Linked DNA regions of Neodiprion lecontei. The protein of the gene in region 3 interacts with the protein of the main gene of each other region in a biochemical or structural test. Links are inferred from orthologs where the notes say so. Each region holds a gene or a part of one and is shown on either strand. Other genes may lie near its edges.

Region 1 (5,329 bases), on a different chromosome or scaffold from region 3:
TGCTGTACGTGGTCGGGTATTCGCCGACTAACAATTAATTGCATATACATTATAACTCGACAATGATGGTGCCACGTGATTCGAATAACAGGTTTATAGGAGAAGAAGATGTGGCGAATGAGGGTAAAATGCCGGAATTAACTGATGATCCCACGTGGATAATTGATCCGATAGACGGAACGACTAACTTTATTCACAAGTTTCCTCACGTTTGTATCTCCATCGCTTTGGTCATCAATAAAAGAGTTGAAATCGGTATCGTTTACAATCCTGTTATGCAGCAATTCTTCTCTGCGGTGAGGGGAAAAGGAGCTTTCCTAAATGGGAAACCGATCCGAACTTCTGGTGTTCAAGGTAAAAATATTGTGAGGATGAAGTTAGCAACGTTATTGTAGCGATATATGATTCGAAAAATTATTATTTGTCAATTTTAGAATTATCTGAAATTCAGTAGACCATGATAAAATAAAATGTGCCCATGTTTTAAAAACATAACTGCTTTGAAATTATTTAAAAATTGCAAGATAGTGATTTTTTCCAATTATTCATTAGGTTCACGTTACCATCGTTAACCTAGTGAAATATTATCTCACACTAATAAGTAACAATGGCTGATAATTTTAATTGCCAGTGCAAGCCAAGGAGTTGACAAAAAAATAAATATACCACAAAATGTGATACAAGTACCGTCTCTCCTAAATCGAAAGTACAATTAATTGAAATTGAACATTTGTCGAACAAAAATGTCAGAATTGACACAAAATTGGATGTTTCAGACCTTTCGCATGCTCTTGTCGGAATCGAGCCATGGTTAGCCAAAAATGAAGAACATACCTCAAGTTTGTATAGCAGAACACATTTTCTAATTCAGAAGACTCACGGGTTGGTACTAGAAAAAATTCAAGGACTACAAGCTGTATTAATCGAAAGAAACTCTCATAGTTGAACAGTTGCGTGTAAGTATAATTTCGAATGAAACTATCAACAAATTATTTCAGAATTAGATCTCTGGGACTGGCTGCGCTAAGTCTATGCTACGTAGCGATGGGTGCAATCGAAGCATATCACATCGAAGGCATAGACCCATGGGACGTGGCTGCCGGACAATTAATCATCGAAGAGGCTGGAGGGATGGTTGTGGATACTACTGGTAAGATCATATAATTTATGGTGTGTGTAATCGAGGGAAATATTTTTTTTCTTCTCTTCTGTCAACGGAGAATTGATAAGAATGTATACTAATATAAACATTCTAAATATTGAAAACAGAATAATCTATGATGAGGAAGCAGAAAATCAACATTATAGAATTTGACGGATCGTCTACATTCATCTATGTACAGAATTCTTCAAATTAATTTATGGACTTGAAATGGATTCTTTTTTCAGGTGGAGTTTTAGATTTGATGAACCCAAAAGTGATTGCAGCTTGTAACCGTGAAATAGCTGAACAAATTGTCAATCTATTCAAGAAAACAGACAGCATCGGTCAGGAAAAAATATCTGACTTCTTGTTGCAGATAAGTTCAGATCTTTAACAAACTTCCCTTTATATCTTGTACTGTGTAATTCCAAACTTCTGTAACTATTCATCTTAAAACTTCCAATATCAAGTTCAGCACAGCGATTTATGACAATTAGCAGTGTCAAATAAGCAAATAACGGAAAGAAGAGAATAGAAAAATCGTCGTATATATGTCCAAGTTCTTCACTTGTTCTTCATTCTCTTCGTTTAATTGATCTTTTGAATTATAACTACTAAATTTAAACTCTTCACGCAATGAGCATTTCAATTCCCTTGAACCGTCTACAAAATAAATTTGTTCCAAGAAGCATTTCACTAGATTTTCATATCAATACAAGCTAACATATAATTTGATTACTCCACGTTCAACTTATCTTTAAGAACCGAATCCGGCGAGGAGAAATAGCATACAATGATTAACACATCCCATTGTGAATTCTGAAGACTTTAGCTTCATTCGATGATTTGAATTTAAAAACATCTCACCTGAGGTCCCATATTTGGTGGCATTTGCTGCGGGTGTGGAGGATACCCTTGTTGCTGTGGGGGAGGCTGCTGTTGCTGCGGCATTGGTGGACCGCCCTGATATCCTTGAGTTGGACTATGAGGATGATGTTGTGGAGGACCCATTGGACTGCCTTGAGGATTGGACGGGGATGGAGCTTGTTGGGGAGGGCCCATTGGACTTGGTGCTTGTGGGGGTGGCATGGGAGACGATTGGGGCGAGGGGCTCGCCATGCTGTTTCTATCAGACTCCAGCTTATTCAGTACTGGGACTCTGAAAAATAAATCTCATTACCAATGAAACCAAAGTTAGACAAACATTAGGATATAAATTCGAAGTTCCTTTTATGGAAGACTCGGACAGGAATTTAATTTTTAATAAGGTTTGCGTAAGAATGCAGAAAAAATATTTTGGAAACGATAATGTTTTTTTCGGTTGACTCTCTCAGCATCCCTGATTTTTCCAAGTCCATTCCGTTCAACAAAAGTAGAATCATTAACAACTGTAATACTGCTTATATTCCAAAGATTAACAGAATTGCTTTTCAGAAATATTTCCATTAGAATGAACCCGTGGTTTTCAACATGAACGAATCACAAGATGTTTCAGTCACGATTGCATAGCTTCCTAGATCAAAATACATGGGAAAGACACAAAGTTTATTTTATGAAGAATTTATGCTTCGCGTTAGTGCACAAACAACCAAGGTGACGTTGCATCACAGAATAATGGCAACTGATACATCGACTGCATATCTGGGTGTGCGAGGTAAGTTTCTTACAATTGTGATTTTGAGCATAGTGCCTATTTCATTGATGGTTTAAAGTGGTATTTATTTAATTAGTCAAAGATTATCGAAATTTTCTGGCTTAAACTGATAATTCTTTTGTCAGGATTATGATCACGAGTACGAGAACCCGTCAAATGTAACCTCATTTCACATTTACAAGTTAACAACAAAGCTGATGACAAAAAGTCTGCATATTTAATAGCAAAAAAAGAAGACACAAAATGACGTAATTCATAATACCTAAGAAAATTGAGAGAGTTAAAAAAAAAAACTATCAAAAATACGACAGTGGTTCGTAAGGCAGGGTGAGGCGAAAAACTTGGATTGATGGAACACAATTATGTGTGTGTGACACCAAACTCACGGCTTCGTCGTCAAATATTACTCAACACTCTGTGTACGTCTCAGATAATGTACGCTTTACGGAAAACTTGGTACCTCAATTATATTATTCAATGAGTTAGTTTCAAATCGTGACGATTTCAACTAGAATTTCATCGTCAACAAAGTTGAAGCACAAACACACTCGAGCGAATCGGAGTCCCTTTTGGCCATTACGCAAAAACGTAAGACATACATTCATGAATATGTCTGTAAAGACGACTCGTACCTTTTTAACTCTTAGCTCGGGCTTCCGCCGAACATACGACGAATAGTTTCCACTACGTTCATGCAGTAAACTTGTAATATTTCAACCTAAATAGGAGAAAGCAATCTTGACCGCGACTACACGACAAATCCCACCGAATAACACAAGCCGCCGGCCATCTTTCTTTCCCGCATTCTCGCTCGTTCAGACGCTAGTGGCGCTGCTATCGCCAATCGTATGCTGAATGTTTATACATAAAAACAGCGGTGCGAATCCATCTTCAGGCCATCTTTACCATACGAACCCAATCGATGTTTTACCCATTTTATGGCTCAAATCGCTATATATGGGTATAAAAAGCGTTGAGAAATGTCGTTTTTAAAAATGAAAAAAGCAAGAGATAGCGGACATTTGATTCAACTCTGGCTTTAGATTGTCTTTTGTGTTGATCTTGTTTGGTTACTGTTACATATCAGTGAGTTCAGTCAACGCTTACGATAGTCTATGGCTTTAGTCCATGGCTAGAACGCGTTCAACGCCGCGCCTCCGTAGAGCCCGTAGCCACAGAGACGGAGTTTCTATAGTTGGTGGTCAGAGCCGGAAAGGCCTGAGTTATCAAAAATGTCTTCTCTCGCGAAGTTCTGTAAAATTTCGACCCGATTATGGCCACAAAACGGTGTCTACACGTATAATATAGCGAAATACAGTAAGTGTAAACAGAACACCATAAAAATATATTTGTGTGAAATATTTCGTGAGTGCGAATGAAGTTACTGGAGTAAACGCACACCGTAGAGGTTATGTCCATCAATTACATAATTTATTACTTTGCATTACAGATTTTAACGAAAATTAATGTGTAGCTTACTTTTCCTGCTCCTCGATATTACGATACATATCTTTTTTGATATCTTCAACTTTCTCACGGGCAGCTTAACTCCATATGAACAGCTAATACATATTTATGTCATCAAAATGCCAGAATGTATGTTTCAAAACAGATGCAATGAGATTTCATTACTGTACCTGCTTTAAATGGCCTGATAAATAATTTCATTAAATTGTTTCATGCATATTAGGTAATGAACTGAAAGCTAACTGTTACGAATTAACAAAACATTCTTTTAAACGTGTTATGAATATTTGATTTCGTTGGATGACGGTTAGGGTTGGAATGATGCACATTAAGCAATCAATTTTATCTTCTGTACGACGTTTCGGCAGGCCCAGCCGACCATCATCAGGACCTGCCAAAATGTACGGAAAATAAAATTCATTGCTTATTGACCATCATTCCAACCCTGACCGTCGTCCAACGAAATCAAATATTTATAATATCTATACGGTCACAAAGTTCAACTCATTTAAACGTATTATAAATTATGATAAAATCTTTTCTGTTCAGGTATGATCAGGGACTATAAACCAGCCCAATATCCAACAACAGAAGAAGAAAGAGCTAAAGCAGCAGAGAAATATAACCTAATAAAAGAAGATTATAAACCAATTCCAGATGATGGAAATGGTTTAGGAGATTATCCAGAACTTCCTATGGTCTCGGCTGAAGCCAAGGATGATTATTACCCTTGGGATTTCCCAGAACATAAAAGAAATTTCAACGAACCTGTTAGTACAATTCATTTCATTCCGAGTTTTCTTATACTTTCTCAAAACAAACGCATGTTGCCTTATTAGGGTATCAATGCTATTTGAAACACTTGAATTTAAAAGCAAATCTTCAGGATGCAACAGTAAGAGAATCAAACTCCTGATGAATATCAAATTTACTGCATTCATTTTTCATGGCGTGAACAAGTAATTCATAGAATAATTAAGAATTACATGACAATTCCTTTGTGGTCTTTACTACATCAACGAGGCTTTTCATTCTCGTTTTATAAGGAAAGTGAAAGTTGAAAA
Region 2 (7,101 bases), about 25 Mb from region 3:
GAGATGGATTTTTCTTATTGGCAGTGATCGACATGTGATGGGTTTATTTCTTCTTCGTTTTTATTATCACACGATTGTTCAAAAATATTATTCTATATCCAAGTAACTCGTTCATTTAGGCAGTTATGGCCGAGGGCAAACAACATGCTTTAGCAGTTGGAATGACATCGTTGTCAACTGATGATATGTAAGTCGAAAGATTGATGAATACAATTTTGGCTACAATTGTATCATAATTGTAACTTACATTTATAAATTTCAGCGCAAAAATAAACAAAGGCGTTGGTGTTGAAAACTGTCATTACCTCAATGATGGACTTTGGCAAATGAAGGCTGTGAAATGAGTTGTTACTTTATTACCTACTGGAATGCCTGTAAAATAAGATTATTCTATTCCCAACTCAACCATGATTGTTCACTTTATTGACCTGAAATGTGGGACAAAAGTAGCAGATTCCTTCTTTATTTCTTTCCCTCGTTTGTGAGAGAAATGTAGCACGTTTCTCCTACATTTGCGGGAATAATGATTAGTTTTGAAATGGGTTTTTCAGTTTTTCTCACTATTTTCAAATTTTAACTATTTCGTACGGTGTTATTGTGAATTTTCAACAATATCCTAGTCTTTAGACTAATAAAATGATCACACTTGCACATAAAAAGTTAAGACTATCAAGTCAATAATGTGATCAGAGTTGAGCCTGGAATAAAGTTTTACATGCAACAGAAATACAAGTCGATTATTCCTTCAGGTGATTACTGCCCTCGTTTCGCTCAGGTAGCAAACCCACCCGCAGGAATAATCTTTGACTTTATTGTTGCATAATATACTATTCTTGTCTCTTTCTACAAGGAAAAAATAATAGAATTATCAAATTATTTCGATTAATCTCCTGTGACTGGTATTGAATATACTACTACGCATTCAGCCGTTTTTTTAACATGTCAATAAACTTGATATCACTGTAGCTGGATACTAAGAATGTATTACATTTATACTCACGAGTTATGCAAATTGATGTGTTGCAACGTTTTCTGTACAGTCGCTTAAATTACTGCATCCGAAATGATAAAATGAATGTCCAGTTTTATAGAGTAAGCTTTATTTCTATTACCATATTGATCAGTTCCAATGATAATCAGCAATTGTTAAGAAATCGTTCTAAACACTCTACGAAAAGATCAGCTAGGTCATACGTGTTTTTAAAAGCATTACCTAGTCTTCCATTATGGTGTGAATGATGATGAAATACTAGATTACTTCAACCTATATTAATCAGTGTGTAGCCAACATTGTATAACCATAAATCAGAATAACCTAGTATAATGACAAAAATGGGACATGAATACTTACAGTTATAGGTTTTTCGAAACTAAACACCACTCCAATACAATTATTAATAAAAAGGTTGTTTTGTTTGAAAATAGCTTACAAACTAAATTCAACACTTCGTGGATTTATCCTGATCCAGATGTATCCATTTTTTGATTGTCCGCCTGGTTTTCGGGAGGTCGATCTCTGTCGCCGTGAATAGGTGTCGAAGCATACGAAGCTCCTGAATCAGAGCCAACATTAGAACCTGAATTTCCATCTCCCACATTGTGCGGTGATTGAGGATGATAATGAGGACTATGAGGGCTGTGTGGGCCGTGAGAGTGCGGTCTACCCATAGAATGGGGAGCATACTGGGAATAAGATTGATAATAGGGATGAGCATATTGAGGATAAGGTTGATGATACGGCTGCTGTTGAGAATACGCATAAGAAGGATGTGGCGGTCTTGGAGCCAACGGAACATTTTGCGCTTGTTGACCTCCGGCCGGTTGATACTGCTGATTGTAACTCTGACCGGTGGGTATCATTGAGTTCACGTGAGGGTTTGGTGGCATTGCATTTTGGGAAGGCATTGTTTGGGGCGGCATGTTTTGATTGTGCGGAGGTGTCGCTTGAGAGGGTAGAGTGTGATTCTGATGGGGAGGAATCGAATGATTGGGAAGAACGTTTTGTTGATGGGGGGTATGCGATGGAGGAGGTTGAGGTTGCTGTTGCTGTTGCTGTTGCTGTTGCTGTTGCTGAGGTTGAGTTTGAGGTTGCGGCTGAGGTGGTGGTGGTGGTAGTTGCTGCTGCTGCTGCTGTTGTTGCTGCTGCTGTTGCTGCTGCTGTTGTTGCTGTTGCTGCTGCTGCTGTTGTTGTTGTTGTTGGTGATGTTGCTGTTGTAGTAGCAGTGGTGGAGGCTGTGCTGGTACAAGTACAGGAGCAATGGCTGGTGGAGTAGAAGGCTGGGGTGGGGGTACGCTTGTAGCGGTAGTAACGGTTGTTTGCTGGATGGGGCTCACTGCTCCCGGATATGTCACAGGTGAAGACCTCTGCGGAGAGTGATTATTTGTTTGCATTGTTGTTTCAGTTTTTACTTCTGTGTATGGCGGTGAAAGTGTCTCCTTTTTCGTTTCGATAGGCTGATCCACATCCATTTTCTTTTCTGATGGTTCGCTGTCTGTAATCTATAGAAATATACACACGTCAATTGATTATAAGCTTCGAATGTGAGAATGTCTTTGTTCTCCGTTCATCTAATAATCTGCTCTTACTCAGAATCCATTTTTACATAGTATATTTATAACAAATTATTAATACCTCAGGTTGTGATTCTTCGCTAACTGGGGCCGGAGTTGGAGTTGGAGTGGAATTCGGTGTTGATTCGCTTGAAGCCGGGCCATCAGATCGATTTTCTTCGGTACCTTTTTGTCTGTCTCTTCGTAATAACTCGTATTGACGCTCAACCATTTTATTGAATGCATCTTCGTCTACTGCAGGCTTACAATGCTGATGGGATAAAACGTATATCAGCAACAATTTATTATTATGCTAAAATTGTAAACTACAAGTTTTTACTTACTTTCTTTAATTCATCTTGAAACACTTCGCTAGCTTCAACGAATTTACGTTTTTTTGCGTCAAACTTTTCTTCAATCTGCTGCAGCTCAGCTTCTAATTTTTTCTGCAGAAGTATTTTATTATATTTATAAGTTAAAGCAATTCTTGCTTTACAATAGAAGACATATTTATTTTACTAACAACGTGTGGTTTAGACTACCTGATGCATTGTGAGTGACTGTACTTGGCGTCGAAGAACTTGCATTCTTTGAGTAGTAACTACAGAACGCACATCTGGTACAACGGTGTCGCTAAAGATCTCATTTATCAGTCTGTGATTGCGGGCGAATCGAGAATATGCAACGTGTTTGACTGAATATCCATCGTCTTGATCTAGGGATAAATAGAAATAGAACATAACTCGGTGCTCAACGACGTTTGCTAAGTTTGTACAGATCCAGTCAACTTTATACGATTAGTCTTTCAAAACCTAACACAGATTAGGAAATCCCAATTGCGCTTACCTCTTATTTCGGGATAGCAAATTATGAACTTCTTAGGCCAAAACTTACAGTTTAACAAAAGAAGAAATGGATAGTTAATGGATAAATTGTATACCATCATCATCTTCCGCCGGTTGAATGTCTATCCGTCGGTCTTGGGCTGCCTGACTTTTACTGCTTCCAGAGGAACGCTCATGAGTTTCTCGATCATCGCTATTTTGCTGAGCTGCACATAACACTGCATTAGACACAAGTTTGTAAACATCCTACACTCAGTGTTTGGATATGCACAAGCTGACAAAACACATCTAAATATACCAGATCATTTTCTTATCTGACACAGAAAAGTGCAGTTAGAGCTATATATGTCTTGTTATACAATAATGCAACGAATATCAGATAGAGTAAAAAATTAGCTGAAACCTACCAGATTTTCCCCTATTCTTTGCAGCGATATACGCAAGGTATGCAGGCGAATTATGGTAAGTTTTTAAGCTCTTCTCATATTCGACCTGAAACCAAACATTACTAGTTGTTTAGAATTTTCAAAGAGAGAAACATTTGAAAACTTCAGATGTAGCTGTAGTGGGTAGCAATGAGGAAGAAGGGTTTTCGATATTTGAAATTCAGTATACTCACCTTTTCTGCTTCATATTCTTCGATGAATTCAGTTTTCTCATCTTCCGGTAGGTCTCTCCACATCTGCCCGATGATTTTTCCTATTTCCCATAGTTTTAACTCGGGATTTTGAGCTTTCACTTGGTCCCAGACTTTTCTGCTGTATCTCATGTATGGCATCAATGGTTTCTCTGGAGGCTTGGGTGGTTTTGGCAACCTAGAATCCGCCTGAAACATATAGCATAATTGTGGATCCTGTAAGCAGCCAACGGCAGAACAACATTTTATGTAAATAAACGCATGTCTACCGGTGTGCTTTTTCCAACTTTCTGTGGGGTAAATCCAGGATGTCCATGAGGTGTTTGAATGAAAGGGGTCTGCGCATCTTTCTGCAAATAATGTCATGATTAAATTTCTGGATCAGAGATGTTTGACTGATGCGTATGAGAAAGATTGCTTGATAACATACCCCTGTACTAGAACTACCACTGGCACCGGAAGCCCGTAATCGTTCTGTTAAAAATATCCAACAGTTATAATTTCAGCATTCAATTTTGTCTATGCGCATGATGTTCACTTTAGGTTTATTATACATACGATTGCTAGAAACAACATTTGACGACGCCATCGCCACTTGTTTGTAATTCTGCGGTAACGCCATCCTTTACCTGTACATTTGAAAATTAATGAATGAATCGTTGAAAGACGGTATTCTTGAAAACAATTAACTTGGGTTTGTCGAAAAATTAATTTTTTCACAATCTACTGCAATCAAAGATTTGTGATAATATATGAAATCGTGGGAAAATATCAGAAGCTCCAGTTTCTGAGTAAATATCATTTCCGCCGCTTGCAAAATAGTTAACAGAAGGTTACAACTCCGTTCGAATTGTCTGTAAATTAATCCAATCGAGTTCCTGGAAATCCGACTTTGGGAAATGAACATTATGTATGAAAACTGTGCTAAGCTGTTGCTGGCAATGAGCTAAATTCCGTACACGTAAGCCTCTGCTGTCCAATTCGAAGGAAAGGAAAAATCGAATAAAGCATTACGAATAAATGAAAGTACTTACTTTGTAAGTAAGAAACCACCGTCAATCGTTTCAGGAGTAAAACCTCATACTGAATCAAAGTTAGAGAGTAACGAAAATTTACAATTCACGGTACAAAACGCCGAAGCGTCGGGCGAGGTTTCAGAATTTCATAGATTGCTCGTACATGCCCACATTAAAAAAGCATAGTTGTCAGCACGCATCTCGTAGATGGCGTCTAGCTTTTGAACTTACAAAAATCATCAAGAGATGGCGGATCACGCTTACAACATGATCGGTGTGACGTTGGCAACGGACCGGAGTCTCATCTGCTTTTAATGCCGATCGGGTCTACTTTTAGGACTTTAGTCGACAATACTCATGTAAGTATTTGTTTTTATTGATTATCTTTGTTATATATTAACATAAAACCTGAGTTAATATAATTGAACTTTGGTGAATAGCGTTATTCGAGTTTTAGGTCAACGGTTTTTTGTCCAAGTCCGCGACGTTAGAATAAACAATTGATAGACGATCGGGAAGCCATGTTGTTGATCAGTTCCAAGTCCGAATTCTTTCTCGCGCTGTAAAGAATAAAGTTTTGACGGTAAGTTTGTTAGTTTTGAATTAAAAATATTAACAAATTTGTGATACATTTGTGATACTGTCCGCAGTGGTATTTACGTAGTGTATTATCCAAACGGTATAAAAAATAAACGAGTCTATTCCGCCCTCAAAATGAAAAAAAATTTCCAGTTTGATTTTCGTTTCGTGTATCTGCAAACGTAGAGTTCAGATGTTTACAGGTGAAAAGTGATCGTTTATAGTTAGGATATCCTCGGACTCGAGTGCGCGTAGTGAAAACGAATTGTTCAATTCTCCCGAAGAAAAGATGAACGTACATCGAACTGTTCTTTCTTCATTACATGGACATCCAGGTATAATATGAACATTTGCACATACATATATACTTCTGTTCGAAAATATGATATACTGCATTTGTCATCTGTGTACACGTATGAACGTAATTTATTTGCTATCTTCTCATTCAAGCTTGAGCTTCACGTGCGCAAGCTTTGCCATACACCTAATTATTATTTATTCATATCATTGTTGGTATGCATATGCTCCAAGTTGGTAAGCAACGTAAAGAGATATGATTTCTCAATTCAGCAACGTTGTAATAATTTTTCCGGATTTAAATTACACGCTGGAAACGGTGTCGTCGGGTTATTTTACTCGCATGCGGAACGCAAATCCGAAGATTGGTAACGTGTTACGGAACACGTGCCAGATTGGGTTTTAGTGTCAACAAGCCGCAATATTTGAAATCAGATCGGCTTGAAAACATGTGATTGCTGTGTTTACTGTGGGATCAAAATTGCGAAGATTAATAATAATTTGATTGTCTTCATTGAAACTTACTTCCACGATAGTAACCAGACCACTGCAGGCAAGTATTACTTTCAGGTGTTTATTTATTATCATCATCATCATTATCAGTTATAATCGCGAATGCTATTTTTAACACTCGTTGACTTTCATTTAGAGGTTATGATGCCGCATCCGAGAAATAGTTTTTCCTGGGATGACTGAGAATATTAACTTTTTATTCGCCCATTTTTTTACTGAATATATTTCGATCCTAGCTACTCATATTCTCGCACTAGTCACTCCATTGAGGTTATGCTGGTCCTACAAGAATCACTAAAAAATACATAAGATATTGGCAGGTTTCATTATTTTGAGCCTCCCTCGGTGACGGGTACAAACGGCATTATTTTTTGGGTCCCTGAAAAACATGGTATCATTTGCAACCGTGTAATTCAGAATATTAACTCATTTCATCCCCTTCTCGAAGGTTCTCACATGACTAACGTGTGATCCAGAGGAAAAAATGTGGCGCGACATAGAAGAATGTTACCATTATTGTGGATGATTGAAAGCTATTGCGGTATTGAAAATTCAGGGATAATGAATATTGGTCGGCAGTGTACTGTACCTAAGTATGGTATATTCCACGCAGCATTTGACATGTTTCGCGCTAATAGCAATGTTCTTTTGTGACGCTTTATAT
Region 3 (8,438 bases):
TACTTACGTTTGAGCAGGTTGTATGCTTTGTTGATTTCCAACTGTCTCGGGTGGGTTCATTGGCCCTTGATTTAGCAACACTTCTCTATTGTTGCACCAGCGGAGAAGTCAGACGTGCTCACATGACATCACTTTTACGCCATTACCACCATCACTTAACTTATGCTCTAAAGATGCTCAATGTTCAAGAAGCTTTGAGAGATCCTGAAATCATGTGGGATATGTAAGTGGAAAAGGATATTTAAATGTAGTTTGATTTCTAACTCGGGTGGTGCGATGAAATGAAAAGTACCGTTTTCCGTGATTTACAGTGCGATATAAACAGATCACAGTCGTTTGCCAACAGTTCCAGATATTTTTGTAAATGAATATCTATGTATTGGTTGTTGCATGACACCAAAAGCCAAGTAAATATGCATACCTAAAACGTTATAATGTTAAATTACATACATATACAAGTATTAGAAAATATTAATGTTTGTTTCGAAATTGATAATAGTTTAACTGAAGAGCTGCGGAGATGTGGACGCTTTGGGTTGGGCATAGCATTAGATATGCTTCCAATAAGTACCTGTGCCAGCGACGAAGCCCCAGATTTGTACGAGGATGAAGAACAAAGCGAAAAAGTGGAGGGAGCACAAGGGCCTCCACCCGGAGGTGTGGAGTGTGCACGTCTGATGACTGACCTGGTATTGGAGCTAATAGATAACCAGGCTCTATGAATTCGTTAGACCATTATTGTAACACAATTTCTCAATCCAAAGTAGAAAACACAAATAATCCAATCTTAATTAACCTAAAACGTTCTTAAACGTAATATGGTTTTTCAATATATATATGAATAAAATGATGTTAACGTAACCTTGATTACTGGTACCCAATTGTTTTAATTCATTTACGTTTTCCCTATAGCAGTTTTGCGTTATACTATTTTAGTATAGTGACATCGTGTTTAACCTTATTATCTATTTCCTAAATTCGGTAAGATCTTATATTACAAGATGATAACGGTGCACAATAATTGATTTCAAATAATTATATATATATATAATATGTATATGTATGTAATAGTGTATTGTACACGAAGATCATGAGTTGATTATATTATGAATTATTATAATATAGGTACGAAGTCCATGAATGCATTTTAAAATTTGTTCAAACTTTCTCGCAAAATGGTGTAATAATCAAAACAGCGTTTCATGCTCCCTGATTCAATAATTACTCTCAAAGCATTCTGCATAGAACAAATGATTGGTACACACGAAATTAACCATTGTAGCTGGTCCGCAATATACAGCTTAAATATTACTCATTTATTCGGGATGAAATCAAATTCTAACGGTAGTTGTTATTGTATTGGAATAATCGGTTGGCCCGGTATATCGGCATTTTAAAACTATTAGTGGTTGTCTAATAATTTAGGTTACAGCAAAGTTAACTGTACATTGTTGATTAGGCCTCGGCAATATCTTGAGAAGAATAGTTTTTCACATTGCATAATGCAACCACGTTTCTAGCTGGTAATAAATAAGTAAAAAATAAAATATTTCCAATAAAATGGTCTTACTAACCAAGCTAAATAAGTTTTACAGCGATGATCAGGAATTGAAAACGAAGCGAAAGAGAAAAAAGCAAAGGAAATCACATGAAGAAAACGCGTCCAACATGCCCTAGGAATTTTGGATGTATACCGACACACTCCATGAATGGGTTTATCGAATATCAAAGTATAGTAAATTTATCAGTCACTACTCCCGACTTATATGACAACCACTAAAATGCGTGTTTGTTTATTATACTGGTTTGTTTTATAAAAAGTGCTGTGAATTACGCTTGTTGAGGTGGAGTGTGCGGAGGCGGTTGCGCCACCTGTGGCTGCGGACTAGGTGGCTGTTGTTGCTGTTGCTGTTGTTGCTGAGTATTGGATGCTTGCCACGGTGGATGCTGACTCTGCTGTTGTTGCTGCTGTTCCTGGGCTAGCCGTTGGTGTGCTTGCTGTCGAGCACGAAATTCCGCTGCTTTTAATTGTTCCAAGTGAAATTGCTGCCGTTCTGTAATTAGTTGCTGGCGCTGATATTCCAAGCCCTCCCGTTCCCTTTCCATTGTTGTCTCCAGCTCCTCGAAATGCCGCAATTTTATTTCAAGCTTTTTCATCTGCGTTTCAACCAGTAGTGCCACTAAAGACTTGATTTTTCTTTCCTCTACCGCTGCTAAGTGTTTTGCTTTGACAGCTGCAGCTGCTAACGCGGCCGCCGCAGCAGATTGTAGTTGCGCATCTCTAACCACCTGCGTCAGAGTAATAAAGAATAGCTTTAGACATTGTTTACATGACAGAAACTAATATAATCTTAGCCCTTGATAGAATAGAGTATTCAATGCCGTTAATATTACCTTATCTCTCTTTTCTTTAGCTTCAGTTTCTTCAGGATCTCCTTTAGACTTAGCTTCATCGTCATTCTCCTTTGGATCGACCTCTATTTTTTCTGGCTGGTCACGTTCACTCTCCACTGACTCTTCCTTTTTCATAGATTGTGGTGGCACCTGCGTAGCATCCACCCCCTCCTTGACTTTAATATCCTGAAGCTCCTCTTTTTTACTTTCCGCAGTCGAAGCTTGAGGAGAAGTAACACTTGCAGACGAGGAAGTTGCACTAGTAGCTGAGACAGCAGGATCTTCGGGTGGTTCTGGAGGTCCAGTTCCTGCAATACCGGACTGTGCAAGTCCTGCTGATGGATCAAATTTACCTGAATATACAGACGAGTGATTATTGTTAACATAGATAAAAATCATTTTCGTACTCGTTACCAGTCTATTTAATCTGTTTTCCCCAAAACTTACCATCTGGATTAGCACTTGCTTGAACATTACGAAGATGCTGATCCAGTAGGGCTGCAGGCACTTGATCTTTGATTGCTGCAAATTCTTCCATAGCGGCTTTAGCAGCACTAGCAGCCACTCTTGGATCCACAACGGAAGCTAAGAAAGCTACTGTGCTCATGACCGGGTTACCAGCCTTGGAAAATGGAACAGGCTGATAGGCGAGTGGTCCTAGACCCTCAGGGCCTCCTTCTTCGAGGTACGGATCTTCGATAGGTAGACGTAAGAAATGAAGTATGCACTCGTCTTGAGTACGAGATCCAACATGTTCGCAAACTTTGTTCCAATCATCTTTATGGAGCTCTAACCCTTCTAATAACAATAGCGTTTCTTGTTCGGTCCAATCGCGAGTGGCACCAGCAGCTTGTTTGCTTTTTAAAACTGCAGGTTTTCTGGAATACTGATCCACCTTCAGACCAAAGTTAGTCATAACTCCAAGTCCGCTCTTTTCTTCTGGTCCCATGCCAACAACAGCAGGCTTCTTTTCCAAATCCAACAGAGATTTTGCAGCACTGGAAGGCTGCGGAGTTTTGGGAGGATTCGGATTAACAGGTGCCAGTCCAGATGGAGTGTCTGAGAGAACGTGGAAGTGAGATGTAGGTGGCGGACCCATTGGAGTTGGTCTAGATTCTGCGTCAACTTGATAATTAATGAGACCCCACTGCTCTAGAAACGCGTGAACACGCATAATGGCACACACATCTCCTGCTAAATTACGTCTGAAAACAATTATGCCACGTTATATGGATTTTTTAGTACAATGCGAGTGATACGAAGTGATTAGTACTCAAATAACACCCTGGTATACAAGAGCTTCTTCAAACCGAATTTTGAAAGGGAAACAGTTTTGTCCGTACCTGCAGGCAGTAGAGGTGATATATTCGGTTGGATTTAGTCGGTAAGTATCGATCATAAAGTTGCGATAAGCAAGGTAGATTTCGGGCGTTTTCGATTTGTTTTTACCATTAAAAAATTCGGACAACGCACGCTTCTCAATGGTATGGATTGAGTTGTAATCGAACCAAGCTGAGTAGCTGGGTACAACAATATGGTGCGTTTGCTCAGTAACATTATCTTCCGGCTCATCTCCTTTCCCACCCTCTCCTCGTTCCTTGCTAGCTCCGCGTTCCTCTCTTTCCTGAGCCGCTTGTGTACTTCCTTTGTCACCTAAAATCATTGAATCAGTAGCTAAAACATTTGCTTATTGTATATTCATAAACACGTCCAATTTAAGTGTGACTGCGGATTACACACCGTCTATAGGCTCATCCAAATCAGCCATGTTGCCAGATTTTAGAGGTTGTAGTTCACTATCTTGTTTTTTGTTTCCAGTTGTCGACAAACTTCCACTACCAGCTGTAGATCCACCACCAGGCCCAATAGAAGGTGGATTGGCTGGGCTTGCTACCACTTCTATTATCCTTGGTTCAGCTGGAGGATCTTCCATCCCCTGTGTCAGATCTTCTTCTTCGTCGACGCCACCTCGAGACTTTTTTGGAGTAGCCAAAGAAGTAGACGAACCTTGGAGTCCTGCCGGTCCGCGACCACTGTTAAAAAAATACGAATATCTATAAAAGTCTGGTTTCACATGAATGTAACGGAATGAGGATTATAATCTATCGACAATCGTTTATCACTTTTCTTCAACACACCATGTTGATGTAATAGCTGCCATTTTTTTAAATACAAAATGCACACCTTTTACGCTTTCCAATTTTTGGAGGTGGACTGGGGGAGCGTTTTCGTTTCTGTTTTTTTGCAGACGAAGGTGGCGGATGAGACGGTTGAGCCATCAAGTCTTCGACAGAAAGCCGGTACTTGTGAACTCTCTTCTGTCCATTATCATCGACATCGTAGTCTTCTTCGTTCATCCACTCATTGTACTGGTCAAGATCTAGAGCCCAAGTAGCCGACACACGATACTGAGGTCTGTAATCAATAATTTCATCACTTTTCCTTGGTTATACTGAATAAGTAACTTATATCTTATTCATGACATGAAATAACTTTTAATTGATTATTATCATACCTTCCACTTGTACTTCCTATCCCAAGAGGACCTTCAGGGAAATCCCAAGGCAGATCTAATGTTGTCCATGAATCGTAACTGTCGGGAAAGTAGTACCAGTGCAATAGAACAGAGCGTTCACGCCTCAAGTAAGGACGAGCGTATTCCTCCTCAAGGGGATCAGCTGGTGGATAAACAATGTGCGTTGCATCAGCCTCAGCTTCGGCAATTGTTCCCTGATGACGCTTAACAACTTCCTTGACTTTGGACGCTGTATTTTTGTCTACATCTGGTCTAACGTACACACAGGGTACTGTCATGCATCGATTTTGTACCAGTGCCCGTTCCGCTGCCACTAACATCTCTATCGCACGATCCATGCGAGATCCGGACTACAAAGTTAATAGAGAATATTCAGATCAAAGATTTGTCTTACATTTTTCAAGTAGAACATCAAGAAATTTTAACAGAGATGGAAAATATCAAAGAATTTTGTACATATATAAATGCATTACCTTGCCGACTTGAAAGTCGAAACGTCGCCATCCTTGTTCCTGTTTAAATCTGAACGCGGTAGCTAATATATGACAAAGACCACCACCAGGCTTGAAATCTAGGAAACACTTCATCTGGAAAGAGCAATTAATAATGTTTGAGACATGGTGGTGATTCTTAATTTTTAGTATTGAATTTGCACCGATTAAACATCATCGTAGTGAGATAATTGTGTAATCTCGAAATTATGTTTAACTAGGAGACATGCAAGTCCGATATGAAATAATTCAGAATTTCATAAAAACTTAGAAAAAAAAAATAAATATGACTCTGTACACTGAGCCATGTTTGCACGTAAATGCTACTTACAGGAAGTCTTGTCATCGGCGGTTTTGACACATTTTTTCCGAGGTTATCTTCCTGGAATTGTAACAATTGGACGACCAAAGACGCGAGACTTTTATTCGTGGGTGGATCGGTTTGAACATACTGTGAAAAAAGTAATTAAATTCGATTATAGGGAAATACTGGCGATAGAAAATCAGAGCGAACATAACTCGGCGCTTGGGAGACGCCGGCCTCACCTTTTTACAATTTTTTAGAAGCCACTGTTTGACTCCGTCCAATTGGCCCAGTATATCTGGAGACTCGAAGAATTTCGCATTTGGACCGCCGTCCTTCTTTGGCCCCAAAGAGAGCATTTTCCAATTTAATTTCACTCAAAAACCACCGACACTTGAGGAAAACAACGCTTCGCCACCCGCGAACATCACACACACACAACACGAGAGTCCGAAGTTTGCTGCAAGTCCGGTATTGTATCTCCGCGTGGAAACTTGACAACCCTGTTAAGTTAATTCTTGTTCACCATTTACTCTAATTTTTTCTCCAATACTGATGTAAAAAAAAGGACAGTGAAGTATTACAGCTAGTGGATACGATTATCCGTCACAGCCGTTCGATCGCGAGCAAATACACTGAATGTGTATTGTATCCGAACGTCTCACTCTGCGATTTTTCACTACGGCCGCGATATGTTACTCTCGAATAACTGGAACGCTCTCGCCTCCATGGGAAAGCCTGCCCCTTAGTTCACTCTGGATTGCCTGGAATTCAAAATGTCTGCGGGGAACGAAGACGTAGATATAAATGAGGCGTTTGACGATATACTCTTTGGCGAAGAAATAGGCGAAAAAACTGGATTTGCGGAAGGCTACAAAGACGGCAGGACTCAATTGTCAGAGCCTTACCACTTGGGGTACCACAGAGCAAGTCAAGTGGCAGCGCAGCTGGGATTTTACAGCGGGGTTTTGGAGTATAACCTCAAAGCCAATTTGTTTCCTGAAAAAGTTATTGACTTGGCAAACAAATTGCAAGGCGACATAGAAAACTTCCCGAAACACAACTCGGACTCGATCGATATACTTAAACTGCTTGAAGACATTAAGCTAAAGTACAGCCGCATCTGCTCGCTGGCAAAGATCAAATTTACTTATCCCGAGCAAGAGAAACTCGATTTTTAACATGTGTTGCAAGTATCAACATTGGTTTCAGCTTTGAACTTGAAAATGTCTTTGTTTAGTGAGCACTTGGAGAAGGTAGCCACAGTTTTAACTTCGTATCAAGCTTTGATAGATTCTCATCTTGTCGATTTCATAACTGAAAATTTATGGGATCAGTGCTTACCAAAATCACTGCGGAACGAGCTAGAAACACTTAGCTCCAATTCAATCATTAATGCTAATTTTTATGGCCAGGAATCCACTACCCCAGAGCTGTATAAGTTCTGTAAACTTATCAATGCGCTGTCTTTGGACAAATGTAACCTGGTATACGATCTGAGAGACATACCAGACCTCTTCTTGGAATGGGGAATCGATTTAAAGAATTTGGAGTCAAAAATTCACAACAGCAGACTTGATTTTATGAATGCGAAAAAATCCTACGAAGTGGAAATTGTTGCTAGAATCACTTCGTCTTTGGCCGAAATTCATTCTAGCGCTGTTATTGATGCTGGAGCAGGAAAAGGCTATCTCTCTCAACACATTTCGGAGAAATACAAAATTCCCGTCTTAGCCATAGATTCTTCAGACATTGCTCACAGAGGTGCTATCAGAAGACAAAATATATTACAGAAAAAACCCAACCAAAGTTCTCATTTGGTATGATTTTCGGACTTCAGATTCTAACTCGTACTTTAGTTACCGTCTAATGATTAAACTGATTAATGTATTCAGAATATATCGACTGAATGACTTGTCAAATCTTGTGAAACTCTTTTTTCAGGTCCATCATCTGGCACAGCGCATAGATGAATTTACAGAGTTTGCAGAGTTAGCAGAGAAATATTTTCCTACCTGGAGTTTGAGCGAAAATTTAACGCTTACGGGCCTCCATACTTGTGGTTCTTTAGGCCATTCGGTTATAAAAGCATTTTTAAAAACTGACTGTATAAAATCTCTCTGTCTAGTCACGTGTTGTTACCATTTAGCCGAGACCTCACTCGGCGGGAAACTGAACATTTCAAAAAATGCCAAAATGCTAGCTCAGCAGTCGGTTCAGCGTTCGTGCCAAAATGAGTATTCCTTATCACCAACACTTCACTACAGAGCAGTTTTTCAAGTTCTCCTTCATTCACTGGGTTAGAAAAATTATTTCCTAGACACAATTTGCTTTGAAAATTTCTGTACATGTAATTGAAAGAATTTGTTTCAGGCATGCAGGATGTTAAAGTGGGACGCGGTGCACCAGTGGACAATTTCGTTACTTACGCCAAGTGGGCGTTAAATAAAATTGGGCTGGATCCAACACAGGTGAAATTTTTTACCCAGATCACCAGTGGCAATCAAACCTGAAAATTTACCCATCTAGAACACTGAAATTAAATATGCTAAACGGACACTTTTCAGATTCCTCCCGACAATGTCATTGAAGAGCTGTACTCTTCCCACGAAAGTTTCAAGGCGAAAATGGAACTTTTTCAAACCTTGAGAATTCAACTTGGATCTGTTATAGAATCTGCAATTCTATTGGACAGAATTATTTATTTAGAGGA

What was found.
Region 1: the proteins of SWI/SNF complex subunit SMARCC2 (region 3) and ATP-dependent helicase brm form a complex in vitro, tested with the Drosophila melanogaster proteins (2 studies listed by BioGRID, with this or other methods). The link is inferred for Neodiprion lecontei from reciprocal best matches to the Drosophila melanogaster genes mor and brm.
Region 2: the proteins of SWI/SNF complex subunit SMARCC2 (region 3) and bromodomain-containing protein 4 form a complex in vitro, tested with the Drosophila melanogaster proteins (2 studies listed by BioGRID, with this or other methods). The link is inferred for Neodiprion lecontei from reciprocal best matches to the Drosophila melanogaster genes mor and Bap111.

Annotation. Positions count from the first base shown.
Region 1 is NC_060262.1:27,356,644-27,361,972, forward strand, and holds the start of ATP-dependent helicase brm, read right to left. Parts: upstream 3,579-5,329; 5' UTR 3,431-3,578; intron 2,304-3,430; 5' UTR 2,264-2,303; coding exon 2,012-2,263; exon of another isoform or gene 1,539-2,011; coding exon of another isoform or gene 1,390-1,538; intron 1,151-1,389; coding exon of another isoform or gene 999-1,150; intron 883-998; coding exon of another isoform or gene 777-882; intron 355-776; coding exon of another isoform or gene 92-354; intron 1-91. Other genes in the region: inositol monophosphatase 1, read left to right, coding at 92-354, 777-882, 999-1,150, 1,390-1,538; NADH dehydrogenase [ubiquinone] 1 beta subcomplex subunit 8, mitochondrial, read left to right, coding at 4,031-4,115, 4,815-5,035. UniProt on the Drosophila melanogaster protein: Transcriptional regulator. Acts as a coactivator, assisting one or more dedicated transcriptional activators of ANTC and BXC homeotic gene clusters. Can counteract the repressive effect of Polycomb protein.
Region 2 is NC_060265.1:2,666,872-2,673,972, reverse strand, and holds bromodomain-containing protein 4, read right to left. Parts: upstream 5,207-7,101; 5' UTR 5,067-5,206; exon of another isoform or gene 5,062-5,066; intron 4,703-5,061; exon of another isoform or gene 4,662-4,702; 5' UTR 4,655-4,661; coding exon 4,591-4,654; intron 4,507-4,590; coding exon 4,463-4,506; intron 4,383-4,462; coding exon 4,302-4,382; intron 4,222-4,301; coding exon 4,015-4,221; intron 3,888-4,014; coding exon 3,803-3,887; intron 3,614-3,802; coding exon 3,491-3,613; intron 3,266-3,490; coding exon 3,093-3,265; intron 2,997-3,092; coding exon 2,895-2,996; intron 2,822-2,894; coding exon 2,633-2,821; intron 2,500-2,632; coding exon 1,456-2,499; 3' UTR 1,079-1,455; downstream 1-1,078. Other genes in the region: malignant T-cell-amplified sequence 1 homolog, read left to right, coding at 120-187, 263-344.
Region 3 is NC_060265.1:28,053,954-28,062,391, reverse strand, and holds SWI/SNF complex subunit SMARCC2, read right to left. Parts: upstream 6,103-8,438; 5' UTR 6,085-6,102; coding exon 5,968-6,084; intron 5,873-5,967; coding exon 5,753-5,872; intron 5,518-5,752; coding exon 5,404-5,517; intron 5,281-5,403; coding exon 4,910-5,280; intron 4,831-4,909; coding exon 4,579-4,830; intron 4,428-4,578; coding exon 4,135-4,427; intron 4,048-4,134; coding exon 3,738-4,047; intron 3,600-3,737; coding exon 2,842-3,599; intron 2,748-2,841; coding exon 2,395-2,747; intron 2,290-2,394; coding exon 1,831-2,289; 3' UTR 868-1,830; downstream 1-867. Other genes in the region: uncharacterized protein LOC107227200, read left to right, coding at 18-223, 500-722; uncharacterized protein LOC107227210, read left to right, coding at 6,502-6,906; probable methyltransferase-like protein 25, read left to right, coding at 6,952-7,545, 7,670-8,024, 8,099-8,196, 8,293-8,438.